Linked DNA regions of Alligator mississippiensis. The protein of the gene in region 2 interacts with the protein of the main gene of each other region in a pairwise test. Links are inferred from orthologs where the notes say so. Each region holds a gene or a part of one and is shown on either strand. Other genes may lie near its edges. The genes, in order: NGB, REL, HDAC7 and EIF4EBP1.

What was found.
Region 1: the proteins of REL (region 2) and NGB interact in binary tests that used the Homo sapiens proteins (3 or more experiments, as listed by UniProt). The two-hybrid records come from large-scale screens. The link is inferred for Alligator mississippiensis from reciprocal best matches to the Homo sapiens genes REL and NGB.
Region 3: the proteins of REL (region 2) and HDAC7 interact in binary tests that used the Homo sapiens proteins (3 or more experiments, as listed by UniProt). The two-hybrid records come from large-scale screens. The link is inferred for Alligator mississippiensis from reciprocal best matches to the Homo sapiens genes REL and HDAC7.
Region 4: the proteins of REL (region 2) and EIF4EBP1 interact in binary tests that used the Homo sapiens proteins (3 or more experiments, as listed by UniProt). The two-hybrid records come from large-scale screens. The link is inferred for Alligator mississippiensis from reciprocal best matches to the Homo sapiens genes REL and EIF4EBP1.

Annotation. Positions count from the first base shown.
Region 1 is NC_081825.1:262,953,015-262,960,711, forward strand, and holds the start of NGB (neuroglobin), read right to left. Parts: upstream 3,013-7,697; 5' UTR 2,583-3,012; coding exon 2,527-2,582; intron 2,207-2,526; coding exon 2,099-2,206; intron 110-2,098; coding exon 1-109. UniProt on the Homo sapiens protein: Monomeric globin with a bis-histidyl six-coordinate heme-iron atom through which it can bind dioxygen, carbon monoxide and nitric oxide.
Region 2 is NC_081824.1:211,732,065-211,739,300, reverse strand, and holds the start of REL (proto-oncogene c-Rel), read right to left. Parts: upstream 3,017-7,236; 5' UTR 2,897-3,016; coding exon 2,890-2,896; intron 1-2,889. UniProt on the Homo sapiens protein: Proto-oncogene that may play a role in differentiation and lymphopoiesis.
Region 3 is NC_081838.1:7,634,913-7,641,955, reverse strand, and holds the start of HDAC7 (histone deacetylase 7), read right to left. Parts: upstream 3,002-7,043; 5' UTR 2,987-3,001; coding exon 2,842-2,986; intron 1-2,841. UniProt on the Homo sapiens protein: Responsible for the deacetylation of lysine residues on the N-terminal part of the core histones (H2A, H2B, H3 and H4).
Region 4 is NC_081830.1:18,438,421-18,445,522, reverse strand, and holds the start of EIF4EBP1 (eukaryotic translation initiation factor 4E-binding protein 1), read right to left. Parts: upstream 3,002-7,102; 5' UTR 2,946-3,001; coding exon 2,810-2,945; intron 1-2,809. UniProt on the Homo sapiens protein: Repressor of translation initiation that regulates EIF4E activity by preventing its assembly into the eIF4F complex: hypophosphorylated form competes with EIF4G1/EIF4G3 and strongly binds to EIF4E, leading to repress translation.

The DNA.
Region 1 (7,697 bases), on a different chromosome or scaffold from region 2:
CCTTATATGATCCAGGAACTCAGGGGAAGAGAGGCATTCTTGTGGGCTGGAAAACTGTCTACAGTTGTACTGGAAGAGGGACAGGAGGTCAGGATCCAGATCAAACAACCTTCAAGAGAAAGGAGAAAACTTCAAATATTTCACACTTCTCAAATGACAACCATTCCTTAACATTGCCCCCATCTATCATTCCCCACCCCTCATTCCATCCAGCCGTGATGTTACAAACATGGAGTTCTGAGAGGGAGATTTGCCATGGTCTGGGGGTCATCTGCCTAAAACTGTTTCTGTTACTTTAGCCCAAGTCCCCAGTCCTCACTGCTACAACACTATTCCAGGAGACAGGTCAGCCCAGTGTTAACTCCAGGGCACTGTTGAAATCCTTTGCTTGACTCCATCTTCCATGAAATCCTAGTCCCTGTCCTAACACTTCCATCTCAACTCTTGCTGTTCCCTGTTTTTTATGATACTCCCTAATCTCAATTTTCTCAAATTCAGAGGAGGCCAGAATATTGCAGCCAGATGAGATTCCTACTTTCACAAGCAGGGTCATAAAACTGGAATCCCTCACATGTTTGTTGGCTCCCAATCCAAACCCCTTCTGCCAACTTTTTCACCATAGGACATTGCTTCCCAAAGTTTGGGACCAACAGACCACTGATCCCCGATGGTTCTTATTGACCATAATGTGCCCTTACCAAACTTTTAATTATAATGGAAAGGGGGTGATCCACAGACCACTGTCCATGCCTTATAAACAACCAGTGATCTATGGATCAGTTTGGGGTTCTTTAGAACATGGCATCTCACCTGTTTAACTCGCACACTGGTCCAGCAAGCAAAAAATCAAGAGGATCTGATAGACTGATGCCATCCATGGCAGTCTATGGCAATTCATAAAACCACACAGAGGGCACATCTACACGAGATGCTTTACAGCACAACAGGCTAATTTTCTGTGCAATAAAGCATCACCATCTACATATGCACAGAAATTAGGGCACAATAGACTAATTTACTGTGCTGCTGGATAGTCCCATCAGCTACAAGTGGTATCTGGCAGTGCAATAAATTACTGCACTTAAATGCATGTGTAGATGCTGACATCAGGATTAGTTTACTCCAGCTCAAATTGAGCTGAAGTATTTTTAGTTGCATTAATTGCACTTGTAGATGCACCTAGAGTGATCAGTTTGCAATGGTTCTAGTCTCCTAGGTATCAACATCATCAGAGAGACTTAACATGAGATTGCAACATCCCTCACCCCTTCACCAAAACTTTTAAATGTCTCCTTAAATAGTTCCTTTCCTTCGGCTCTATCAAGCACGGCTTGTTTTCCAGATATTTGCATTTGCAATCTGCCTTTCAGATTTGGCTGTGGAAAAGCCAAGAGCTTCTCACAAACTTTTAGAGCCATTGCTTTTCAAGGACTTTTCAAGCACTTCCCTCCGTCCCTCCACTTTTCTGCCACTTAATTGAAGGGTTAATTCAGTGGAAGAGGCAGCAAATTTTCAGTTGCACTCCCCCATGCACTATTTCCCCCTCTTTGAGATTGATCCTGGAAATTAACTGTTCCTTTCTCAAGTGGCCAGCTCTCTGCCTCAGCAATGTGACAATTAGGAAGCTACTTAGATACACTCCACAGAGTTGAGTGGATGCACAAGGATCAAAGTAGGTTTTAAACAACAGAATTTCCTCTCCTAAGAACAAGGGAAATCACTGCAAAGAAATGCACAAAAGCACACACTCCACATACCTTCCCCTCCCCTCCCTTTTAACAAAGTTCTAGATTTAAATGCTAAGGAGCTTCTTTGGAAATCTGTTCTCTCTGCTCTGCAAATCACAGCAAATGGACAGAAGGAGCAGGCAGCAGGAGATAAGTGATGGAGCCATGAAAAAAGAAATCATTTCAGAAGGGAGGGGAAGTGTTTCTTTTCAGAGAATGCAAACCTTCCTTTGCCTTACCCAGGGATGGGGGGGGGGGGGGAAGAAGACCTGATAAATACCACAGCAAGCATTGGCACCAGGTTTTTCCTCCCTCTGTCCAAGTTGCCCTGCTACAGAAACTGCCTGTTGCTATAATAACCCATCACTTACCTGGTAAACAAGATGATGCCATGCTGCAGGGGGTTGCCACTCACTTTCTGCCAGCTTTCTCGTATCAGTGCCTGTTCAGTGCTGGATAATTTTTCACTCTCCATCTTACTTGAAGAACAGGAGGGGGAAAAAAGCAGAGACAGGGGAAGCTTCTGCTTCCTCTGAAAGTAGTTGCATTTGCTCACTCTGAGTTACAGGTGTCACAGGTCCTGAATTAATCCAAGCATGGAAGGCCACCAGTGCCTCTGGACCTGGGATCCACACCCCCCCCCCCCCCACTCGCTCCTCTAAGTGCCAAGGATGCTCTTCCTTGCACAGTACTCAAGACTTTGTGATCACATCTCTGGGATCCCCAGACAGTGCAAGAGCCATTTTTTTTCCCCTTGATCCTCCCACCTCCTGCCTGGGAGCAGTGCAGGTGGACTTACAAAGAGCCCCTGTCTGAGCAATCAGATGAAACCTGAGTGCCTTGGGGGAGATCCATCTTGCTTCTTGGTGTCTACAGGAATGATGGGCTGGTCACTGTTGCTTTCTAATCCCCCTTGCTGTATGGCTACAGCAAGTTTATCAGTGTCTCTGTGCCCTCTTCCCACTGGGCACTAACTGTGCTCCTGATTTGTTCCCTGTCTCACTCCCTGTCACACACAGGCTCAAAGATCTGGAGCTGAAGCTCCTTTCCCCTTATTAGCAGCACTTTCCCAGCTGGCCGTCTCGCAGAGCAGCTTCCAGTAGCAACACTTTCACGGATGCTCTTAAAGCGACAGTGTCCCCTTTCTCCCCGTTTCTTCCAGTGAGCTTTTTAAAGCTGGGTAACAAACAATACTTTTGCACTTTGCTACATTCTCCCATAAGTAAGGAGCCACCACACACCTTCAGTGTCAAATGGCTTAACCCAATTTTGGCTGAAATTTTCCAGTCAGTTCAATTTTACAGATGAAGGAACAGACACAGAAGAAAAACAACTTGCCTAACATCGGGCAATAAATTAGTGGCAGGACCAAGCTAGAAACCTCACTCTTTCAGCTTTCAGTCCTGATTTCTACTTGTTAGAGTGCAGCTTGCCCTCATACAATATTTTCAACAGTGTCCTCTTGGTCCCAGTCACCCGCACTGACACTCCCAAACCTTTACATCTCTGGGTGCAGGTGCAATCTAGGGTTTAGTGTGTACAAAGGGAACATCATCACATGTTTAATTTAATAGAAGCATAGCCAATTGTACAAGGCAAAGCATTTAATAATGGATCACAAGGCTTTTGGACTACATCAAACAAATTCAAAGCGCTCAGGTTCTTTCTGCTACTCAGATGAAGTGAAAACTCTCCTTTTCAAATGGCTCAATGATTCAGACAGCATCAAGACAAGCTGGGGGAGGGGAGGACAGAGAGAGACAGAGCGTGTTCTGTGTTAAGAGCTCAGAAGGAAGAAGAATGGAAAAATATGGACAGGTAACAGAATAATCATTTAAGGAAGGATTTTCAAAAGCAACCTAAGTGACTTCTGAGAACAAGTCCTATTGACATCATTGCAATCTTCTTTAAGATAATAGGCATATGGTCCGTTTAAGCCTATAATATCAGCTATATGAGGTTCAGCTGTTCCTGTTAGATAAGAAGGTATTCTGAGGCTACAACGCCTGTACAATACATTTATCATAGGATATATGTGGTCATAGTCAATGTTGGTGCATCATTTTAAGAGGAAAGTCAGTTCTTGTCCTCTCCTAGCCTAACATTGGCTTCAGTGGAGTTGGAACTTGGCCTTTAAAGGCTCTTGGAGCCAGCATTACCTTTATGGTTTGCTGTACATCGTCGCTGCATTAAAACCCACAGCACTATTAGGGACAGAGCTCAGCAACTGCTGTTCCAGATGCACAGGCCCCTACAATCTCAGCCTGAAGAGAATGCTCCTTTGGTGTTAGCCAGGAAGGATCTGGGTCACTCAGTTGAGCGGTTTCAGTCCTGTCCAATTGGAGAGACTGAGCTCACACACTAACTCAGCTCAGTATTCATGAAATCTGGTCTTACTGACCACTGGGAATTATAAAGGGAAGTGAAGCAGCTCAGGTTGAAAGAATAGGATATTCCAAAAATCAGCTGCACTCCAGGCTCCTTCAGTCCCTATTAATCTCTTTTTAGCAGCTAAGGGTCATATTCTTTCTGGAATCACCAAGACAAGAAACACAGGATGCTGCCTAGTGTTGACAACATAAAGGTTAACATTTAACTCTTCTGAGTCTCACCAAAATACACTAGAAAGCAGCAAGAACATTGTATGAGAATCTACATGAAGTATTCCGCATAGCATTTACTTTGATGCTATGAGCGTGTGGAGACTGTATTGTTAGCAGAACTTGGGGAAATATTGCCAATCTTCTTCTACCCCAATTTGCCTCTGCTGTAATGAGAAAGGAGAACCTGGTTGTAAACTAGAGGCACTTTGGCAGAACCTACTAGAGGAGAGTAAGGCACTTCAGTGGTACAGAGGGAGGAAGGAAATTTATAGGATTTGAACAGGAGACAGATAACGCACCAGACTAGATATTTTCCTAGCCACATTTCGGGTGGACTGAAAGCTGGGTGTTAAGAGAAAGCAGAAAAAAAGAGTTTGTAATAGCCAAGGTGAGAGACAATCAGTACCTTTTTGAATAGACAGGGAAGAAGGAAGCTGGAATGCTGCAAGGGAAAGATAGGTGAAATGTGGGGAGATTTGATAGTTTTTGCTAGAGTTTGTTAGTATCAGGGACATCGCCATTGGGACATGAGCACGCACCACGTCAGGGAGGCTCCTTACTAACAATCTGGCCAATTTCTTCCCAGATAGATGATCATATGCAGATTCATCAGCTGCAAATTAAGCAATGATGCAAAGGTCATGAAATGAGAAGCAATGCAACTTGCCATAGACTCCCCATGCGACTGCCCAATGCAGCATAAAAGGATAGCGCCCTGGAGTCACACAGAGCACTTAGAGCATTTTCTCTATGCAGACAAAAGCCAAAATAAACAACTAATGGCTACATATAAACCACTGAGAATATTCAGCCTCTTCTCTCACATGCCTACATTGGACTGCTCATCTGAGATGAAGGGCAGTGCTCAGGACACATTCTAGTGGGAGATCCACCAGACCAGCTGGGACTAGCTGCCCCCTACTTACCTGGTGGCAGGCTCAGGAGAGAGGCCAAGGCTTAGCATAATTTAACCTTCCCCTTAGTGATGGCCCCTCCAAGGCCATGTCCCTGCCACTACCCAAGCTATATCTGTGCTGTGGAATCAGAAAAAAATAAATGCCTTAAACTTTGATCATTTGAGTTATAAGATGACATAACCGCTTTGTGGAGAATTGCTGGCTCGGTACAGTAGAACAGACAAGGGCAAGTGTTTGTTCTTTGTAACTCCTCTGCAACTGCTTCGCTCACTGCGGCCTTGAAGATAGCAAAAAGTATGTCCAACTCTGATTTCCAGGTGCAAGCAGGGAGTGATATTTCTCCCTTGTCTCCTCCATAATTCTCATCCTGATAACAGCAAAAAAGTAACGAAGTCATGTTTATAGCTGCTTTTCTAGCTAATTTCACTATATGATCACGTGAGTTGTAAGCGACTGTTAAAAAGTATATAAGCCTCCTGATTTTGCTCTTGGGGGGGGACCCCTTCCAAGTGCTTGGGAAATCCATGTCACTTTGGAACTCCCCCTACAGCTGTAGTTTCTTTTGAATAAAAGCTTCTGCTGACCTGACCCAAAAGTATGCTGCGTGTGTTTCCACAACAGTGCTATAGGAGTAACAGAGAATGCCAGTCTCTAGCACTGCCACATTGGCATCTTCCAGCACTACATTTACTTCCTGTTTTAATTAAAAAGCAAATTATCTCTCCACAAGAGAAACCAAACCCCAGCCTAAAAAATGAACCTGCAAAAAGGCTGAAGTTGGAGGGAGCTCAAGGAGAAACATTTGAAACCTGGAAGTGATGTGTATTCCTCCAGCTGCTGGGAGTGAGGGCTCAAGAGGAGTTTGAAATGGCAGGGCTCTCACCTGCATATAAAGCAGCCTCTCCTGCACAGCTATTCCATTGTCAGAGGAGCTCCTTCTGCTGCCACGGTGCTGGAGGTGCTGACAGCATGCTAAGGGGCTGAGGAGGGTTTTAATAAAAAAAACTATATTGTGCTTTTCATTCAGATGCTCAGTGAGCCTTCCAGCATGGAGAACCATGAACCTAGGTTAGATATTGGGAAAAACTTTCTCCCTAGGAGAGTAGTAAAGCACTGGAACAGGTTATTTGGAGAGGTTGTGAAATCTCCATCGTTGGAGGTTTTTAAGACCTGGCTAGACAAAGCTTTGGTTGGGATGATATAGTTGAGAATGGTTCTGCTTGAACTAGACGACCTCCTAAGGTCCCTTCCAACCCACATTTTCTATGAAAACACCAAAGGAGCCATCATGCTGACCAACAACACTATGTAGGTACAGCCTTCCTGCCCCTGTGATCTCATCTCACCCAGCCCCCATAGCTCCATTTTCTCAGAGCTCAGCCTGGCTGTATTATCTGCTTGGGTGCTGCAGTACATCAGATGGGCCTGTTTGGGGACAAAGATGTCCAGCTGAGACCAGCTCCTACCACATTTCAGCAGTGCACAGAGGGAGGAAAGGGAATTTCCAGTGAATCCCTGTGGTCTGCATAGAGCAGTATGATGGACAGCAAAATCATCTAATTTTTCAGACAAAGTAGCCAAACACCTTCAAAACGATAGAAATATGTTGCATGTCAACAGCCCCATAGATTGCCTTGCAAACATTACTCTCCCTTGTGAATACCACCTCTACTTGCCTGACAGAGAAACAAGCAGAGAGTTGGGATAGTGACTTGCCCACAGTCACAGAGTGAGGTTTGCATCAGAACTAGGACTAAAGCCATAAATGTTGACGTTTGGTCCTGTGCTCAGATCACCTCCTTCCTCATTCAGGCACTGAATTTTCCTGGCCTTGGGGCCAATTCTGTTTTCTTGATATGCTGTAACAGCTTGAGTTCTCATCTTTGTTGCTGCACTTTCCAAGTAATGAAAACAAATCCCCCTTCAGACTCTTTTTTAATTTCAAATTCATCTTCTGCAGGTCCTCATGAATAACCAAACTCCTCCAGGCTCTCAGTTCACCTCAGAGTCTGCTTCCTGGGCTAGACTCGTTCTTTCTCTCCAGTCTGTCTGTGTTATAAACTAAACACCATGACTGCTTCCCTCCATCCTCAGGTAGAAACACAGCTTATGAAATGTTTCGGCTTCTCATCTCTGCTCCCCCCCCCAGGCCATAATGTGCCACAGCTCAGTAGCAAAGCAAATTGCAAATGCAGTTGCATAACAAGTGAAAGAGATGTAGACGTGAATAATTGCACACACAAATGGTAAGGGCAATAGCTTCAGACTTTTCTGCCTGCCACTGTGCCCTTGGGGAGCAGGATGGCAGTGCTGCCAACCTTGAAGATTTAAGCCACAGCATGGGGATTAAAAGCAGAGCAAAGAAGAAAATGTGTTGTCTTTAGCTGCTCAATATCCAAGGGTTCTTCCTGTAGCTCACGGGGCCCTGACGAGATGAGAGGCTTGTATAA
Region 2 (7,236 bases):
TGATATGTCATAAGCCATATAAAGTAAATAATGGAAGCAAATGCTGACTGCTCAGCTGACCATAAGGAAGAAGGCTCTTTACCATGCCCTGCAAAGTGCTGATGCAAAAAATGCAGCTGTGCCTGCAAAGAACCTTCAGGAATTAGATGATCTGCCTTTTACAATATTTGTGGCTCACAAGCACATGGTACAGAGAGGGAAAGAGAAATATTGTGTGTGCATGCCATTCATCTCACACTGATGATTTGTATTGTATCTGGAGAGGCCTAGTCAGATTTCAGAGGTAAGCATGGGGAAAGATGAAATGAAGAACCAGAGGAAGGTGGCTGTGACATACTATATGTGTTTCAATACACCTGGAGGGAAAACAACTGGCTTCTATTTCCAGCTGTTTCCAACTAGCAAAGCCAGAGATCCTTTTGAGGCAGGCTATGAAGATGTTATGTAGCAAGACTGGTAATTCTTACATGGCTCTTAGGGATGTTGTCTGGATATGTGCTCTGCACCAAAATCTGAAGTATGAGAAAAAGGTAGAGGTGGGCCAGGGAGTGATGGGAGCGTGACCACAGTGGCTCCACAACATGAATCACTATCCAGAATGCCCATGAAGTGAGGTATATGCAGCAGACACTATGGTGGCACTGCTGAGAAAATTCTGGCTGTCCAACTCACATGATAGTGATCTGTTCAGAGCCTCTGAGCCAACTCTTCCAAGCTGAGCACCCCAAAAAAATGAGAGGCCGTTCAGAAAAGTCAGATATTATATTCTAAGTATTTGCAGCTCTCTGAAGGGTAGGGGCCTAGGCAGACAATTCAGAGGTAACATGTCTATTACAAAATATTTGCCTACAACCTGAAATAAGTGCAAATATCCTCTTAATTTAGAAAAGAGTAATCCCCTACCTAAGTCTTCAGGACCTGCGTAGCACTCTAAGCAAAACTGCTTTGCACACTTCCTCTTTGTTATCATGTGACATTACAGAATAGTAACAAAAAGTCAGTAAATACTAGGAAGTTAAGAGCTTCCTCTGCTGAAAAATTCCTTTGCCAGTTAGTTGCCAATATGTTGAAAATCTATTCAGCACTGATAACAGAGAGATAGATATCTCCTGCTTCAGCTTACCCGCTTTAAAATACAATATCAAATTTGAAAGGGCACAGGCTCAATAATTTTATTTATCTGACTATAAGCCAACATTTAGAAAAGCAGATCAAGCACATGCACTAGCAATGGCTGACTTAACACGCAGATCACAAAGCAGATACAGGTTAGACAACATTTTTCTTGAGGACAGCAACTACTCTTAATTAATGCAACCACCTCTAAAATGGATTTTTTTTTTTAATTTCTATGAAAGATGCAAGATCAAAAGCTTTTCTTAGATAAAAATTAATTGCATTATGTCTGCTGATTCCTGTTTGCCTGCTCCATTTATGTTTATTACATTGTTGTTGTGGCAGCTCTCCCTCTCTCACTTCTTTCTCAATATCCTCTTCTAATGTGAACAGCATTCATCAGCTGAACATCAGACAGGTCTTAGACAACTGGTAATCACCCCAGATCTGAAACTTATATGTACATTTGGCTCTTTTAATTTAATTTCCGCTTGTTTTTTAAGTTTAAATGAGCCATTCTGAAAGTGATCAGTCTTAGCTCTAAATTCACATTTTCTAATGTTTGTTCACTATCTATTTTGTTAAAACCAAATAAAGTAAATATTTGGACAAGTGTTTACTACTGTTCCTAAAATCATGATTGTAGATTTTAACAATAGTACTTTAAGTAGCAGAAAAATAAAAACAAGCAGGCCAACAGATTTTCAGAAGTGACTAGTGATTTGGGGCTACCAATCAGTTATCAATTTAACGTAACTTATAGGAAGCCTTAGAACCTAGCCCCTGAAAATCAGTTCCCTTTAAAAAAGTGTCTCAGCTTGGACACCTAAATATTAAAGCATCCAAACCACAAGTCAGTTTATAAAATGCGTGCACAATGGCAGCTTCTCATAGCTTAGCAGATTTACTAGTCTAGGTGTACCCTACACACACACTGCGGGGCTGGGGACAGTGGGTCAGGAGTGAGGGGCAGTGGGTCAGGACTGGCCACTGGTGTTTACAAATGGGTCCTGATACAAAAGAGGTTGAGAACCACTGCTTAAATGCACAGTTATAGTCCTGAGCCTCTGACTACAAATAGGCAAGACATGCCAGGGGCTGTCCAGCAGAACAGCAATTTTTCATTTAAAAAGTGAAGGTTTGGTTGATATATGGGAGCATGCCTTAGAAGGCAAATATACCAACCACAGCAGGAAAAGATACCAATCCATGCCACAACAGCAGAGAAGGATTTGGGCATCATAACAGGTAACCAAGTTGCCTAAAACAAGTGCCTATATTTAGCCACCATGTATGCAATGGAAATTACACTGCCTTTAACGAAGATGCAGATTATAAATGGATTGTTTGAACTTATTTCATGCTTTTTCCTGCAGAGCTAAGTCAGGAGCTTTGAGCTGAAAAGCACCATCAAAGTGAGGGTGGAGGAAGTCCTTCTCCACATTCTCGTGGGGGGGATGCGCATGAAAACCCGATCGGGAACCACTGCTCCAAGTGAAGTGAGCATCAGCTCAGGAAAGCCTGTGTTACACAGCCAGAGATGAGAGAGCCACCGACACAATGTCGGTATCTCTAAGGGACAGATCCGTCCTGCCCTGTTACAGGAAGGGACCCGCTCACCTGGGCTCCATTTGGTACGCACATACATACACACAGAGCTTTCCATGTCCGCTACACACACCCATGTCTACTACACACACACGGCCACTCTACGCGCACGCGCCTCCATTACCCCCCCGTGCCCACTGCCCCGCGGTGCCCGGCCGCACTCACCCGCCATGGCGCTAGCCCTCGCACGCGGCCCGCTGCTTGCTGCTGCCCGGGGACTCGGGCTCGGCCGCGGGTCCCTGTGCAGCTGCCGGCCCGGTCCGGCCCAGCCCGGCCGTCCCGCCCCCGCAGCTTGGCCCCGCCCCGCCCCGCGCGGGAATTTCCCCGCCAGTGACGCGCGCCAGGGCTGGCCGCCGCGCTCTGCTCGTCCCCGCCCCCGCCCTGCCCCTGGCGAGGCGCGGCGGCGTCTCTCCGCCCGAGACACGCGCGGCCAGTCGGCCGCCCCCGGCCCGGGACACCTCCTGCTCTGTGGGGGAGGCTCTGGCTCGTCTGAACAGGTGGAGACTGGAGGGTTTCACTTACCTGCCAACCTGCACAAGGGCAGAGAAGGCCACTGTCTTCACCCGCCTGAAGGACCTAAGCCAGGGACTAGCGCGGAATTTGAAGGGAAGGGAGAATTTCTCTGTCTCTGCCTGACACACATGCACACACACCGAACTGCAGTTTAATATGCATTATACACACAGGATGAACTGCACACACACACACTGCAGTTTAACATGCATCGTACACACAGGATGAACACACACACACTGCAGTTTAACATGGATCACAACTGTAGTTTAACATGCATCGTACACACACAGGATGAACTGCACACATGCACACACACGGCCTGAAGTTTAACATGCATTGCACACACAGTGAACTGCAGTTTAACATGCATCACACATGCCAGATGAACTGCACGTACACAAGCTGCAGTTTAACATGCATCACACACACACACACACACACACACATAGAGGATGAACTACACATGCACATACAGTGAACTGCAGTTTCACATTCATCTCACACCCACAGGATGAATTACACACGCACACACACTGCAGTTTAACATGCAGCTGTGGGAGTTATTGGCTGAGGAGTTGCACAGTTTTGTTCTCCGTCCATCCTTTCCACCAGTTAGCTAAATGCAAGACTAACAGCACATTCATGGTCAGTTGGACAAAGCTGACTTACAACACCCTAGAAACAAAAGGCAGGATTCAAAAAGATTTGACTTTTCGTTCCACTTTGTACCAATTTAACATTCAAAAGAGGGGAAATATCACATCGTTTCCTAGACCAGTGGTACTCAAAGGATGTACTGTGGAAGCAGCAAAAGTGTGTGCTAAAAATGGGTTGGGTGGGGCTCTGGCTTCATCAGCACCACATACAGGATTGGACCCACAGACTGGATCTGGCCCACAGACTGGTGAGTGAAGTGTGCTGCCAATTTTAATCCAGAAAAAAAGTGTGTCCCAGGTATCAAGCTTGGGAAACACTATACTAGTCACTAGCCAAAACCTATTGGCCTGCTAGCCAAGACCTAGTGACCAGCCCAGAATTTAAATGAGTTATCATAAGTCTAATGTCAAAAGTTACACATTTCTGAACATCAACTATTGCTAGCTTATGTCAGGCCCAGCCTGTGGTACAGGATACAGCACTGCTGGCATCTATATTTCATTGTTTCATCCTTTTCCCTTATAACAACTAGAGTTTACAGAGGAACCTGTTTCCTCGGGTGCTTGTCAATGTAAAAATTCCCATTAAAACTCATAAGTGAAGCCAATGGCCCTCCTAAGGCACTTGGGGATGTGTAGAATACCCAACAAATGTCCTAATCCTCATGAATGTAGTGGATGCTGTCTACTAAGGCCTCTGGAGACTCACAGAAAGGGAAATGCCCTCCCACACCCCAATTTCTTTCCTGAACCTAAACATTGTGTTCACTCTTCTCCTCTCTTGGCTCTCCTGATATTCTCTTCTTCATTTGTGACAGGCAAATTGAACTATAATGAACCCATGAGATTAATTTGGCAGAAAAGATAGGGAAGTATTCTGTACCCCCTTCCCTTCTTCAACTTTGAACTGTTCCTGACCATTTCCTTCCCTGCTTGATTCCTTCAACTGTTGGTAGTTCCCTTCTGTGCCACAGCAAGGCATCTGCTTTGCTCCCTATAACTCTCTACGACTTCCAAAGACCCAGGTCTGCCTGTCAGCTGTTCCTCCTCAAAGACTGAGTCCTCAGACTCAAAAAAGATATAAGGGAGTAGTTCATGGCTTCTTGGCCTCTTGTGGGCTAAGGTCAACTGGGGGCATCTGAATCCCAAGACCTCTGGCTTTGGGCCTGCACGTAGGATACCTGCCAATGGATTTGGGAGTATCTGAAGTCCCAGGGTGAGAGCCTGCGACGGAGGATGCTCACTGGTTGTAGCCTCATACATGATGTATAAAACGATTGAGTTTTGCCTGCTCAGTTGATATGGTTTTTGGAACAATTGAGGGATACTTAATCAATATAATTTGGCTAATTTGACCTGAAACACAGAATATATTAATAATGATAATAAAAAAGTAAGCTCTACATATTGTGGAAACAATTATGTCAATGGTAAATATAATCAGTCAAAGCAAAGATGAGCAAATTGCAGTGGCAAATTCATCAATTTGCCTGAGCTACAAATAGCCATTCAACTTACCAAGTTATTCAGAGAAAATGCAATCAAATTTGTCTCTACTTTTGCTTTTTTATATTTTTTTAAGTTACTGTATGACTGGGGTATGCATTTCCTGCAGTCATTAATAACATGACGCATGCACTGCCCATCGTAGTTTCTTTTGAACTGGAGTGTTTGCTACAGTTCACTTTGGGGTGTATGTTATTGTGGCTCTTTGGTTAAACACTGTCTGCACATGTGGCTCCTAGGCTATGTCACTGATTTAAACCTATGCAAAACTCAGGGAATTTGGGGCCCACACCTCCAGCTGGGTGTGAAATTCACCACTTGACCCTATTGCAATGAGAAGCTGAAAAGGACCACTGAACATGAGCATCCCTTGAACTTTGTAAAAATCCAGTTTGAAATCAGATGTGGGCATAAATCCTGAGCGGGTCTGGACAAACAGTAAAATAACTGTGAAGGCATGAACATGAAGGAGCTTACACCCAGCTGACAGGTGCATCCTTGTGGTATAAGACAATGCACTGGACCGGCAGCAAGATTTTGTTCTGATTTTTTAAATCTTTTTATTGAGAAGATTAGCACACTCTTAACTAGTATTTCCTGAGAGAGATACTGTTCACATTTTAGCACTTTATTTATTATTCTTGCTACATTGTAGGTCACATCAAACGAATTAATTTGCTTACACAAGGTCTGAATTTGGTCCCATGCCTCTCCCGATGATAACAGATTAAAGTTAGGATATTTGGACAGAAAAATAGGGTTATAGTGTCTTACTCTTATTGCAATACATTGAACCATTAGATACTGTCTACTCTACTCTAGACAGTGTCTCCTGGCTCCTAGTCTACTATAGACAGTATCTCCAACATACTGCAATAGAGTAAGACATTACAACCCTATTTTTCTGCCCAAGTATCCAAATTTACAGATATCCAATGTCACAAGTATGTAAAATAAGATGTTTCCTTTTAATATGATTATACATGTTTAAAAATTAAAAGTAGAATTTATAGTTTTCTGTCTCAAGGCTGTTTTTTTAATCTGTCATAAGGATTTTTATCATAAGGATTTCATGGTATAAACTGGAATATAGTTTCATTGCTTCTATAGAGCTCCTACTGTTTACAAATGCGGAGAATCTGGCCAAGAATGTCATATATTTTGTATTTTTGTCATTATAAGCGTAGTAGAATTCATTATCCTGATGCCATGTGTTCTACAGGTTGATTTGCTAAACTGAAGCAGGAATGCATGTTTTACATTTTCCCTCCCATAAAATCATACATCAAAGTTTGTCTAGCACTTTTTATTAAACTTTCCCCTAATATTAAAGTTAGAACTGGCTTCTAATGTGTTCAGGGAGCACTTTGATTCTTACATGACTGCTATTATAGAAATGATGGACAAAAGTAAATTTGTCATGGAATCACTGCATTTTTGAGGTTGTAATTTTAATCCAAGTCCTATTTAATATTTGGTTTCCAATATTTTATCCACCTCCTACATGCATATACAACCCCTTACGCCCCAGAAAAAACATGTAGCACACTACTGAGATGGTACATTGCTCTCAGAGATGGTAGGCTAGACCTGGTGTCAAAGTAGGCTTTGCTATTAAATGTAAATCGATTGGATTAAGCTCCAGAATTAGAACACATTAAAAGAAGAGCTATTCAGAGTAAAAAAGTGGTTTATAATGCTTTCTTATTCAACATTTTTTTAGTTTGTTTATTTACAAAAAACCCAGAAAACAGTGGGTTAGAACCTGGGCTTCTCTTAGCTTGAAATTCTGAGTTCAACACCAAAGTTAATAGTGTGGACAGACAAAGTATTA
Region 3 (7,043 bases), on a different chromosome or scaffold from region 2:
CTCAAGTCTTGCTTCTGTATCAGGCGGTTGCTCCGTGCACGCGCCAGGCAAACCAGACACTGGTCATGCCTGCCTCGGGCCACCTGCTGGGGCGGTCGCAGGGGTATAACCCTGACCCCATGGGTTTGGAGCATTCAGCATGTCCCGGCCGGGACGCAGGACATCCCAGAGAGAGGAGACCAACTTAGCTAATGCCCCCAAGCCTCGTTTCTCCATCCCACAGAAGCAGGGCAAGCCTAGATCAAGGGGGTCAACTCTAATAGCACCCCCGAGAGTCGCCTGCAGACTCCAAGAGCATGGAGAGGGGATGTTTCTCCCATGCTGCTTTCTAGGAAGGGCTCTCCGAGTCAGTGGGCTGCGGGCCTGGCCTCCGACTGCTGGACAGCAGGAGATGTATAGCAGGGGTGCAAACCTGTGCCCTCCTCCAGCTTGCAGAGCCCTGCTGCCCCGGCCCAGGGGCTCCCAGCAGCTCCAGGCTGAGGCTGACTTCAACCCATCCTGCACACCCGTGACCACAGGCTCCCCCAAGCCGTGCTATCCCCGCCAAGCCTCAACAGCTCTTCTGCTGGAGGGGGTGGGGGACATCCAGGCCCGGATGGATGGGCTCAGTGACCTGGGTGGGGCTGGTCAGCACTTGGGAGAGAAATATTTGTGCAATGGCAAAGGTCCAGCTGCAACACTCTCCTTTCCCCCCCACGCCTGCTGGAGCCAGAGGGGAAAGCTGGAGCTGTCCTTCCTCTCCTGGAAACGGTGAATGGGGAGCTGTCTCCATGGACCCAGAGCCCTTCCTTGCCGAGCATGGGCACAGCTGGCCCACAGCTGGGGTGGCAGGGAGCAAAAGGGGCACCAGGAGGAGGGGAACACTGCTGGAAAGGCTCCACGCTTGCATAAATGAGCTATCCCGGGAAGCCAGCTCGCCCATGAGTCGCAATTCCCACACAATCCCAGGACTCCAGGAGCTGGGGACTCTGAAACCCAGCCTCACAAGCCACGAGGGCTCCCCTGGGCCAGCCAGCTTCTGCCAGGGCCCTGCAGGCTTTCCTGGCCTAGCATCCGCCGCCAACCCAGCCAGGCTGTCCTGGCACCCAGAAAGGTCTCTTAGCCTCGGGTTCAGCCCGATGCAGGCAGCGGCCGGTGGCTGCCGGAGCGGAGAGGCCGCGAGTCACTGGGGACTGGCCTTTCCACAGCTCAGCACCCAGGGCAAGCGCCTGTGCAGGGATCGGTACAGCCCCTGCCCAGCGACTGGTTTCACAGCATCGTAGAAGAGCAGGGCCAACTCTGCTCCAGGCAGAAACATCCCCATCCAAACCAAGTCCCTGTCTAATCCTAAAGCTGCACAAATCACATACCTACCAGGCCAGTTGCCCAAAGACACCAAAAGCACCCCAAACCGCTGCAGGTGAAGCAGGGGGACGAGAACTCGCCGTGCCCTGCTGCTTCAAGGGGTGTTAAAAATGCACCGGTGCGATCCAGGGAAAAGGGCCAAGCCCCAGCTATAAAGACAAACCCCTGCCCCCACCCCAGTCCATACCAATCTGACCATAGGGGCCAAACGCCTTCCTGATCCTCAATGAAGCATCGGTCTGAGCCCAAGTGGAGACACATGACCCTCTCGCCAGGACCCTCTAGGATTTAGTCCTAACAGGAGCCCAGTCACCAACCCCAGTGCCTCTGATCTTGCCCTTGCCCTCTGCCATCCCAAAGCTACAAGCAGCAGGAGACAGGGGCAGGAGCAGTCACCAAGCTGGGACAGAGCTCACAACAAGACCCTAGCATCCCCAGCCTCCCAGAAACCTGCACTGAAAGTTTCCAACCGGTGAAAGCAAACGAATCAGCCTCCTCCAAACAGGCCCCGAACGGCCAAGCCGAGCTAAGCATCCAGGGCCCCCTTCCCCGGGGCCGCCCGTCACCCTGCTGACTCAGGAGGGAGGGTGCGGCTCCCACCAGCTCTCCTTCTTGGAAGCGGAGGTGCTTGACGCAAGCTTGGTCTTTCCGTGAGAGCCTCTGAGCTCACCGAAGCGCTGGCCCGGCTCCCCGCCCAGCTGGGAGGTTTGCAGTGAGAGCCAGGATCCAGCGGCGCTCCGTTTGCTCAGCACAAAGAGCCCTGGAGCAAGGGAAGGCACCAGGGCTTCAGCTCTGCGGGGCCTGGCTTGGCTATACCGGCCAGAGCAGAAGGGGGCTGCACACCAGCGGGGACCGGACACGGGCCTCCCTCTGTGTGCTCACTCGCACTTCCACCTCTGTGCTCCAGGCCCAAGCTAGAAGGCTTATGGGGTGCTGCCCAGGCCATGCTTGGATGGCAGCACCCCATAAGCAGGGTAAGAGGCAGCTCCAACTGGGACGGTCCACGTATCTTGACCCCCACCACGGCTCCCCTTGCAGATGCCCGAGGTCCTGGCTGCTCTTTGTATGCACAGGAGGATCTGGCATCAGGGGACCTGCACTTGTGCCTCGGCTCTGCCGCTACCCCGGCGGTTACAGCGGAGAGGTCGCTGTGCCACCTTCTACCTGGGACAGAGGGACCGGGAGCTGGGGACAGTCACCCCCCTGCCCCCAACTCACACCAGGCTGCATGGATACAACTCCACCTCCCCTTACAGATGCATGCCCTCCACCCTGATTTTACCAGATCAGCTGGGGCTGAGCAGGCCTTTACACTAGGAAGCACCATCAGGTGCAGACAGAGAAGCCCCATTGCGAGCCAGGTGGGATGCTAGAGCTAGTCCTCTGCCCCACAGCACACACCACCCCATGGGTCACCAGTGGGCACGTGCCCACCCCGTGTGAGCATACATAAGCGTGGGAACAGTTGGCATGCACAGACCCATGCACGACTCTCACCATGGAAGGAGGGGAATCCAGTGAGCAGAGCGTGCCAATGCGCCCTCCAGAGCCCAGAGGTCTTGCAAACACAGCCCAGGCGGATGCGACAGCTGCTCTTCCAGACACCCCCGAGCTTCCTGCATCGTCCTGCCCCATAGCACATCCCCTTCCCCTACACCGCCCTAGTCGCAGTGCCTCTCTCGGCTGGCATTTCAACTCTCTCCAGGCCTCTCCAGGGCGTTGAGAAAGGCATGACGACTTCAGCAGAGCAATTGAGAACACAGCCTGGGTGTTGCAATCGGGAGGATTGGGGGGGGGGGGGGGGGGGGACGGGGACGCACAACTCCAGCTGCAGCAACAAATGTTTGTGTCTCCAGCTGGGAGAAGTTACCCATATGGCAGGGCACATTCTTGCGGCTCTAGCTCAGCCCTTCCCGGCGGGTGGGGGTAGGAGGGGAGCTGCAGCTCCGCCAGGCAGGGTTCACTCCGTGGCCCATGGCGGATGCAGACAACTGCGGGCAGCAAGGAGGCAGGACACTGTGCTACAATCAAGCCTTCCCTGTGTTTGGGGCACGCAGCCAGGCTGGCTGGAGGTGGCAGGGAGGGAGCGCAGCTCCCCCACCCCTGCCACGAGGCGCTTTGCTCTGGGAGATTCGAGCTCCATCTCCAGCTCCGAAATCCCCCAGCTGGATCCTTGCCCTGCTGCAGCCTCATGGGTGAGGCCTGGGGCCCGTGTCCACGAGCCAGCCCACATCCTCCTTATGCGAATAGAGCGGTGACAAAGAGCCAGTGCCAGGGATGGGGTAACGAGGGGGCACCATTTCCACTCCTACCGCAGCCACTGATGGCATCTCCAAATCTAGCAGAGCTAGACACAGCCAATCCAGAGGGCACACAGTGGATCCCAGCGCCTGGAGACACCCAGCACCCCCCTCCCCACACCAGCACCCCCGTTTTGGCGGGGCGAGATTTAGGGGAATCCATACAGGCTCTCCCCTGTCCCGTGCATGCATCACTGAATGCTCTTCCCACTCCCCAGGCCACGGTGCAGCTTTGATGCTCCATAATGGATACAGGCAGCCACGCTCCACTAGACCATCCCAGGAGCTTGGGGAAGGAAGAATTAGTTTCCTACGTGAAGGCTTTGATCTGAAGTCCCAGCGCTGAAGCAGGAAATCCCCATGAGATCACCCCCCCCCGCCCCATCTTCTCCTGCATCTACCTGGAGAAGAGCAACACGGCTTCTCCCCCCAGCCCCATTTCAGCCCTGGGGGCTCCCTCCACTTCCCCGAGGGTCCACTCCAGAGTTGCATCCCCGCCTCCTTCCACGTGAGCACCGCTCCTCTCCCCACGGAGCCAGGCCAGCTGTAAGAACAGGAGACCTGTCATTTCCTGGGCCAGCCCTTCGCTACCATGTTGGATACCTGCTCCCGGGCCTTTCCTCTGGAAATGGGTCCAATCCCCTTTGGATGTGGGTGAATCATCCTCTATCATGTTCCCCCAGAAGTCTATTTTTTTTTTCTGAGCCTAATTGAGTCTCACCTGGTCTGGAAGCCCACCCATGCCCTTTTCAGCGCCGTTTCCAGTTCTTCTGCCTCTTTTGTGAGCTTGTGGGAGATAAAGGCACCGCGGGGCTCCAGGATGCTTTCTGCCTTATGAGCCCCTTCTTTCTCCCCTCCCTACAGAAACCAATGCAGATACTGGTGGAGGTGGGGGTCTACTCCATGCAGAGCCCTGGGCAGCTAGGGAGTCTCTACTGTCTTCGGACCCAGCAAGGAACCAAGCTCCCGAGGCCAATGGAGGGTCCACGCAGCTGCAGGAAGATGGCAAGCCGAGAGCTTTCGGCAGCCTCTGGAGGCCTTCCTGCCTCACGTCCTGCAAGGAGACACCTCCAGGCACTGCTCATTTCCAACAAGGACCCAGCACGAGGTGCAGACATGGAGCTAGGCAGACCTCCCTGCCCTCCCAGGCTTGTTCCTGGATGCACAAGCTCCATCCTTTCAAGCCAGACCTGCTCCTAATCCCTGCCCATCCACTCCACACAATGCACCTTGCCTGCTCCGGTCCTTGCACCTCCCCGGCCTTTAGCATCCTTTTACCTCCCTACAGACGAATATCAGTGCTGGACCACACTCCAAGTAGCTGGCGGTGGCTCAGACACCTGGCGACGTGCTCTGGAGATGAGCTACATTACCCACGAAAGCCTCCGAATTGATGTGCCAGAGCTCCTGGCCAAGGTAACGACATTTTCCATCATGAATCCTAGAAGGTCCGAGTCAAATGCTATCCTAAAATCCCAGACGTCCTGGAGGAAAGCAGCCCAGCTACCTCCTCTCCAGCCCCAGCTTTGCTACAGTCTCATTCAACCACCCATTCTGTCCTCCCGACAAAAAAAAAAAAATCACGCAAGCTGATTGTGTAAGGAGACGGTAATTGCGTGGCTTGCACTGAGGCCTGAAGGGAGATTGGGGTGGCTGAGCTGGGATCTCCCGCTCGCTGGCTGTGAGAGCTGTTGTGCTGACGCTGAACGAACTGGCAGGGTGTCAGGAAAGCCGTCCACGCCACTTGGAGCTGAACACGCCTGGCCCTCTGCCCTTCACTGAGCCAGGGGTGCTTGGCTTAGCTCGCCGGGATCTCTGCCCAGAGATCAGCCACAAGGTTTTGCATTTGCTTTGTGAGTGGTGGCACCCCCAGAGTCCTGCTTTGGGTCTCTGGAAAGAGCCTGCTCAGTTCTGGGCAAGGCCAGGCACATCCACGCTCCTCCAACCCCCTGGCATTCACCCTGGCTCTGGAAGAGCAGCGGCGGCATGGCCCCGTCTGCTCAATCTCCCAAGGCTACCTGGAGACGGCCACGGGACGTGCATGCAGCCCAGAGCTGCTCTAGGAGCCATGCACCGGGCATCCTTGGCTGGGGAGAATCCAAATGGCAAGTCTCCCCCCATGGCCAGCACCATCCGGGCACCCACTGGTGATGGCAGGGGAGAGCTGCGGGGTGAGCCGCTGTGTAGGTCTGCAAGGCCTCGGAGGACCCGCCCTGCCTCTGCCTCCCCCAGGGTGGGGCAGGATAAAATCCTGCAGAGATGGAGCTAGGCCAGCACCAAGTCGAAGGCAGCCTGGGAAGCCTTCCGTCAGTGCCGTCACTCCCCACCTCCACCCTGTCCCCAGGTGCGCCCGCACCCGCCCCACGCCCAGCTCCCCACCCTCCTCCGCTGGCCTTGCAAACTCAGTTGCTCCAACCGGTGCACCCGAGGTCTCGCAGCTCCTACGCCCCGACCTCCAAGGGTGGGAAAGAGCACAGCAACATCCTGAAAGAGGCAGCCGGGAGACCAAAAGGGACTGCTCCGAGCATCTGCCTGTCCCGCGCAAAGCCCCCTTCCTCGGGGCAGGGCTGGATCCACCAAGAAGTCCTGGCACAGACAAGACTAGCTTATGTCAGCGGAGCTAAGGGCTCGTGGCTGTCACCGTGAACAATCTGCTGTCCCCGAAACAAAATAGCCTGAACATACAGACCCAACCAGTGCGGCAAGCAACACATCCAGAACCTGAAGGACATGGGAACAGATGCGGTCAGATATGCCACGGTCACTAAGGGCATGGAGAAGACCGCAGAAGCTATGGCGATGGGCAGACCTCAGATGGAGGAGATGGGGCATCCTGGGCTGCATTGGTAGGAGCGGTGCCAGCAGATGGAGGGCAGTGATTCTTCCTCTCTATTCAGCACTGGAGAAGACACATCTGGAGTCCTGTGTCCAGTTTTGGGCCCCCCACTACAGAAAGGATGTGGACACTTTGGAGAGAGTCCAGCAGACAGCAAAGGAAGTCGTTCAGGGGCTGGGGGACATGAGTTGTGAGGAGAAGCCGAGGGAACTGGGCGTACCGAATCCACAGGAGAGAAGACCAAGGTGGGATTTAACAGTAGCTTCAACTCCCTGCAGCGGGGGTGCAAAAGGAATGAAGCTGGACTGTTCCCGGTGGGGGCAGATGACAGCACAAGGAGCAATGGGCTCACGTTGCAGCAAGGGAAGCTGAGGTTGGATATTAGAAAAACCCGTCTCATTAGGAGGGTAGTGAAGCACTGGAACAGGCTCCCCAGAGAGATGGTGGCATCTCCATCCTTGGAGGTTTTGAAGACCCAGCTAGACAAAGCCTTGGCTGGGATGATGTAGTTGGGGCTGGTCCTGCTTGGAGCAGGGGGTTGGACTAGATGTGACCTCCCGAGG
Region 4 (7,102 bases), on a different chromosome or scaffold from region 2:
GCTCCAAGGGGCTCACAGAGCCAGGAGGATAAGCTAACAGTGCTGAGAAGATGCCTTTGAATCCTTCGGCATGTCTAGCGGCCCCCAGCCTGTGCCTGAATGCTGCAGGGCAGGAAAGGGCTCCCCAGACCTCACCCAGGGCAGCAAGCTACAGCCAATATCATGTGCAAGGGGCACAAGCAGTGCAGCTCTGGGATACAGCTCTTTGGGAGTCACCTTGGGGCTAGTTCATCAATAAAACGCTCATCTTTTAAGTCGAATGCAGGTGAGTCTCCCTAAAACTGGAGTTGGGGAAGGAGGGCAGTAAAAAACAACCCTGCAATATCCAGCACCTGAACAAGCATACTTCACCATTCCCATCTTCAGCCTTCATTTCAGGCTTCCTCCCCAGAGCCTGCAGGTGCTGACACCCACAAGCCTTCCCTAGCCTACGGCTTTAAAGAACTGCTTCAATCACAACCAACCAACACCCCCACTCCTCATGTCGACACTGCTACAGAATGAGGGTGACAGATTTTTTCCAAGAAAACAAAACGCATCTAACTGTCATATGACTGCCTGAGCAACTCCGTTCCACTACCATCCTGAGATGATTCACAGGCATGCCCTTGGCCTTTGCCTGCATTCTACTATTATTTGTTCCCCTGCAAGTGAAACAGCAGGGGAACAAAGCACGCTGAACTGCCTAACTTATCAGAACCACGCAGAACAGAAGCAGGTAAAACTGTTGTAAATCCAGGGAAAAGAAACTCCCAAAGCACCAGAAAACATTCCAAGCTCCCTCTGCCCCAGACTAAATGTGCTCACTGTCCAAGGAGGGCTTCAGTATATTTCAGCATCTAGCAATAAACCCAAAATGTCACATTTCAGTACCCAGTGCCACTGAAATCAGTGGAGCTACCAGGGAAGCTGAGGTGCACAAGAGCTGCCTATGCACATTATTCAAGGGTTTTGCATGGCAAATTTCAGTGGGCCCTTTATTTTGACAAGAGCAACATAATTTACTGCTCACAGTACTTCAGCGCCTTGGCCAGGGGACTGGAACAGTGTGTTACATGCTTTCAAAAGAACAAGGGTTTATCAAGCCAAACAAACAAGCGATGCTGAAAACCAGATAGTGAACTAGCACACTCGCCATCACAGAAAGCTCATGACACAGCGTGGCAAGGCAGCATTTAGCAAGAACCAGCAGGTTTCCGGATTAGCACAAGGAAGGTCAGCGAGACTCCACTGCATCAAGGGCTCTAATAGCATTCATTCCATTCAGCCCAGCCTGCAGCCTGGTTCATTTCTGGTGATACTTTGAAAACGTATATTTTAGACTCAGCTGCCAATGAACTAAGCAGAGAAATGCCAAAATCCCAAGCATTTCTAATGCCAGAGTAGCAGGCATGAGAAAATACACGTGGCAGCCACCGGCCACAATAAAAGGGAGGGCAACAAGCAGCCAAGCACATTAATACGTGACAAAGTGTTTTAATTCTCTATATACTTTCTCATAAAAAAAGAACTGCAGGTGTATTTTCATATGCTCACCTTCCCAGACCATCGCTTAAAAAAGGGAAGTCAGTGCCCCACTGCCCCGCTACTTCAGTGTTTTTGAATCACTACTCCTTTCAGCAGTTTAATTCCCTGATTGTCTTTGATCCCTTGCTGAATTAGCAACTTCCCATCAGCCAGCATTCTCACTTACAGCGTGTTCCATCGGTAGCTACGCTGCACAGCATTTACGCTCTCTCAACAGCGTGGCAAAGCAGAGGGAAAGGGACAATGTGTCCAAACAGCTGTAATAATGTGAAATTCCCATCAGGCCAGGCCTCTCTTCCTCTGCTGTCTGGTACCATGTAAACCAGCACAGCCTGTTCCATGGTGGGGCCACTGGTGACCGGCCCAGGTGAGGAAGATGTACGGACACCCAGCAGGACTTGAAACAAGAGCTGTTAAAAAGGGTGGATGAGCCCCCTGTGAGCCGACAGCCACCCGTACCTGCAAAAGAGACGGGTGCCAGCAGGTCGCTCTGCCCAAAGAATCACCAAAGCAGCTCAACTAGCCTTGGAGCCGGGCTGCTTTCAGTGGGGGCGGATGACAGAACAAGGAGCAGCGGGCTCGAGTTGCAGCAAGGGACGCCGAAGTTGGATATTAGGGGGGAAAAAATCTCACTAAGAGGGTGGCGAAGCCCTGGACCACGTTACCCAGAGAGGTGGCGGAGTCACCATCTGTGCAAGTTTTTTTAGCCCTGGCTGGGATGATGTAGCTGGGGCTGGTCCTGCTTGGAGCAGGGGGGTGGCCTAGAGGTGACCCCTTGAGGTCCCTTCCGCCCTCGCTGTCTACGACTCCAACCCAGTTATTACAGCATAAGGTGCCCCAATGCTCACAGCAGCCCCGGGACCAACTCTACTTAGAGCAACCGGAGCCCGTGTCACGTCGGGGTGGGGGGGGAAGGGGACACATGGCCCCTCTGACAGCGAGCGCTCCGGCTAGTCGGGGGGGGGGGGGCATGGAGAGTGCTTGTGCCCCCGCTACACTTGGGCCCCTCCGCCCGGGGGTGCCCCACGGGAGGCACCAGTCACGCGTGCCGTGTCGCCGCAGCACAGCGCAGAGCGTTGCGGCGCGGGCACCGACTTATTGTTACAGCCATTTGGATGCGCCGCCCCCGTCCCCCCGCTCTGCCAAGCCCACGGGACGGGGACTGAGAAACACTCCGCCAGCCGTGCTCACGGCTGCCCTGCCCAGGCCCGAGCTGGCCCGCCCGCCCGCCCGCCCGGGGGGGACACGTGTGGGGCGGAGGGCGGCGCGGCGCGGCGCTCACCGCCGGGCGTGGTGCCGAACACGGTGCCGCCGGGCGTGCTGCTGTAGTTGCCGGGAGGGAGCCGCGGGGCGCCGGAGGGCGCGGGGATGTCCCGGCTCGGCGTCTGCCCCGGGAGGCAGCTCCCCGGCACGGCCATGGCGGCGGCGGCTACAGCACCCGACCGTCCGTCCGCCCGCCCGCGCCCTCCGACCCGGAACCACACGCACTTCCGGCCCGCCCTGAGCGCGGGGCACCACGGGAGCGCGGCAGGGGAAGGCACGCCCCCTTCCTGAGGCCCCGCCCACTGCGTGTGTGTGGCTGGATATAGATCTATAGATCTGTGTAGATGTGTGTATATCTAGAGAGAGAGATAAATATATGGATGTAGATAGATCTGTATTTGTATATCTATATGTATAGAGAAATATCGATATAGAGAGATATCTATATATCTCTCTACATATAGATATATATCTCTCTTTATGTATGTCTATATATATAGATCTATATATCCATGTATCTCTCTACACAGATATAAATCTCTCTATATATATCTATATGCATAGATCTATATATCCATGTATCTACACAGATATAAATCTCTCTATATATATCTATATGCATAGATCTATATATCCATGTATCTACACAGATATAAATCTCTCTATATAGATCTATATGTATAGATCTATATATCCATGTATCTCTCTACATAGATATAAATCTCTATATAGATCTACATGTATAGATCTATATGTATCTATACAGATACAGAGATTTCATAGATTTCATAGACATTCGGGCTGGAAGGAACCTTGGAAGATCATCGAGTCCAGCCCCCCGCCCGAAGGGCAGGAAGTCAGCTGGGGTCACAGGATCCCAGCAAGATAAACATCCAAATGTCTCTTGAAGGCGTTCAATGTAGGTGGCTGAATCACCTCCGGCGGCAGGCTGTTCCAGACCTTGGGGGCTCGGACAGTAAAGAAGTTCTTCCTTATGTCCAGCCTGAAACAGTCTTGCAGGAGTTTATAACCATTTGACCTTGTCATCACTTGGAGCACTCTGATGAACAAACCTTCCCCCAGATACTGGTGGTCACCCCTGATAAACTTATAGGTGGCCACCAGATCACCCCTGAGCCTGCGCTTTTCCAGGTTCTCAAGCCTGTTGTCACAAGGTCTGATCATGCGCGTGGCTGTCCTCTGGACTCTCTCAAGCTTCTCCACATCCTTTTTGAATTGTGGAGCCCAAAACTGGACGCAGTACTCCAGCTGCGGCCTCACCAAGGCTGAGTACAACAGGAGAACGACGTCCCGGGATTTGCTCAAGAAGCATCTATGGATGCAAGCCAGCATTTTGCTCGCTTTACTAGCCGCAGCATTGCATTGCAGGCTCATGTTCATCTTGTGGTCAATCGTGACACCCAAGTCCCTTTCATCTGTAGTGCTAGTCAGCGTAGCACTGCTGAGCATATAGGGATGCTGCGGGTTTTTCCTCCCAAGGTGGAGAACCTTGCATTTTCGGTGTTAAACACCATCAGGTTCTCATCTGCCCATTTACTGAGCCTGTCAAGGTCAGCCTGGATCCCCCTCCTGTCCTCAGGTGTGGATGCTTTACCCCAGAGTTTGGACTCATCGGCAAACTTGGCCAGTCCGCTTCTGACTCCAGTGTCCACATTGTTAATGAAGATGTTGAATAATATAGGTCCAAGGACAGAGCCTTGAGGGACCAAATCTCTCTCTCTCTCTCTCTCTCTCTCTATATATATATATATGTATAGATCTATATATCTAATATCTCTATATAGATATATTCTCAGTATAGATACAGCTACATCTAGAGATATATCTATACGTATATAGATATATAGAGATGCATATGTGTATAGATTTATAGATATATATGTGTATAGAGATATATGTCTATCTATAGAGATATCGCTATGCACATATATATCTATCTTTATACACCTATACATCCCTTTCTCTCTCTCTGTATATAGCTATATACGTACATGTACATATAGAGATATATGTATATGATAAAAAGAAGCCCCCTCCCCTTTGGAAGGGGCTTGGCCCCATTGAGAATAGAGGGGTTGGGGCTCAGCACTTTTTGGGGTGCTTTGGAGAATGTGGAAAAGACAGATGGGAAGTTGGTGGCAAGGAGATGAGCCCCATCTCACACCCTCCCCGCTGGACCGTCCCTCCTGTACCCCTGTGGGGTGCTGAGCTGGCTCCTGAGGGGTTTCACCAGCAGGCCCGGTGAGCTAGCCAGCCAGGATGAGGAGGTAGAAATAAGGCTGACATTGGAGCCAGGCGCTGGCTCTGTCACCAGCATTAATCAACAGTTTGCTCTGTGCTGTTCCTGAGCCTTGGACAAGCAGTTTTGCCTTAAATGGCCCTTCAGCCTGTTTGCTCTCACTCTCTCCTGCTCACATGGACCTAGGGCAAACTCTGTTTATCTTCTCTCCTTGCACTCAGGCTGTGCCTCCTCAGCCTGAGGAGACTGCTAAGCAAACAGGCAGGTGGCAATTGCCAGCAAGCCCTTTCTTTTCATACAAACCCCAGAGCAGCCACACGTGCTCTCACAGACCCACGGAGTCAGATCTGGTGGGCTAGGGGGATGGCAGAAGTCTGGTCTAGGGCACTGAGGGGGGGAAAGCAAGACAGGGTCTGTGGCTCCGTACTTGGCTCCTTACTCCTCAGTTTGGAAATGTGCTTTCCTAGATTTTGCTTTCCTAGATTTGCTTCCTGAGCCTAACTCTAGGAGCCGATACAAGAGCCGGTCTCTGCTGAGTGCTTGGGGCTTGCTCCGCACATCATGATGAGAGACATGCTCAGTTGAGATGGGCTTCACCTGTCCCCCAAAGGTAAGCATGTGTTCTCTTCTAGGTTGGCGGATCTCCTCCGGTGGGCTTTAAACTAGGCTCGTCGGGGGGAGGGGAAGATGAGTGCGGGGGAAGCCGTGGACCACCAAACCATGTGGCACCCACAAGAACAGTCCAGCCTGAAGAAGGAGAACATCAGGAACCTGCAATCCATGGGGCGGCCAGCAATACAGCACAGGTAAGCAATAAGGGGCCCTTTGGGTATCAGAGCCGGGGGGCAATAAAGGCACCAGTCACAGGGCTCAAGTGCCTATACACTAATGCTAGGAGCATGGGGAGCAAGCAGGATGAACTAGCACTCCTGCTTGCAGAAAACACCTATGACTTAGTAGGGCTAACAGAAACCTGGTGGGATTCGTCCCACTACTGGGCGGTACACATTGAGGGATATAAGCTGTACAGAAAGGATAGAGTGGGGAAGGGAGGGGGAGGGGTGGTGCTCTATGTCAATGACCGATATACATCGACCCTTATCAAAACTGAATCAGAGGAGGAGAAAGTAGAAGAATTGTTGGTTAGGTTACATGGAGGTCAAGGAGAAAGGGACTTGGTGGTAGGGGTCTGCTACAGACCCCCACACCAAGGTGAAGAACTAGATTCAGGGCTCCTGAGGCAGCTCTCAGAGACCATAAAAACTAGGGAGGCGGTAGTCATGGGGGACTTAAACTACCCAGACATCTGCTGGGAGATGCAGACAGCAAAGTCCGACCATTCACGCAGGTTCCTATCCTGTGTACAGGACCTCCATCTGACGCAGGAGGTATATGGTCCCACTAGGGGGAATGCCTTACTGGACCTGGTATTGGCAACGGGGGATGACATGGTAGGAGACCTACAGATCAGTGGTCACCTGGGGGACAGTGACCACCAAATAATAGAATTCACCATAAGACATCGAGTGGGTAAGGTAACTAGTAGGGTGAAAGTGCTAGACTTTAGGAAAGCTGATTTCAACGAACTCAGGCGATTAGTCAAGGACGCACTGCAGAGTAAGAGTTTTGAAGAGATGGGAGCCCAGGAAGGGTGGCTGTGCCTTAAGGAAATGATCCTTCGGGCACAGAGGGAGATGATCCTGATGTGGAGGAAAAGGGGGAAAGGGGCCAAGAGGCTTCCTTGGCTAACCAGAGATATCCAGAGCAGCCTACGGGCAAAAAGCGGGGCATATAAAAAGTAGAAACGGGGAGAGATTACTAAAGAGGAGTATACCTCCTCTGCTCGCGCTTGTAGGGAGGCAGTTAGAAAGGCCAAAGCTACCATGGAGCTGAGGATAGCATCCCAAGTAAAGGATAATAAAAAATTGTTTTTTAGATATATAGGGAGTAGAAGGAAGGCCCAGGGTGGAATAGGACCTCTACTAGATGGGCATAAGCAATTGGTGACGGACAGGGGGGACAAGGCTGAATTCCTCAATGAGCTCTTTGTCT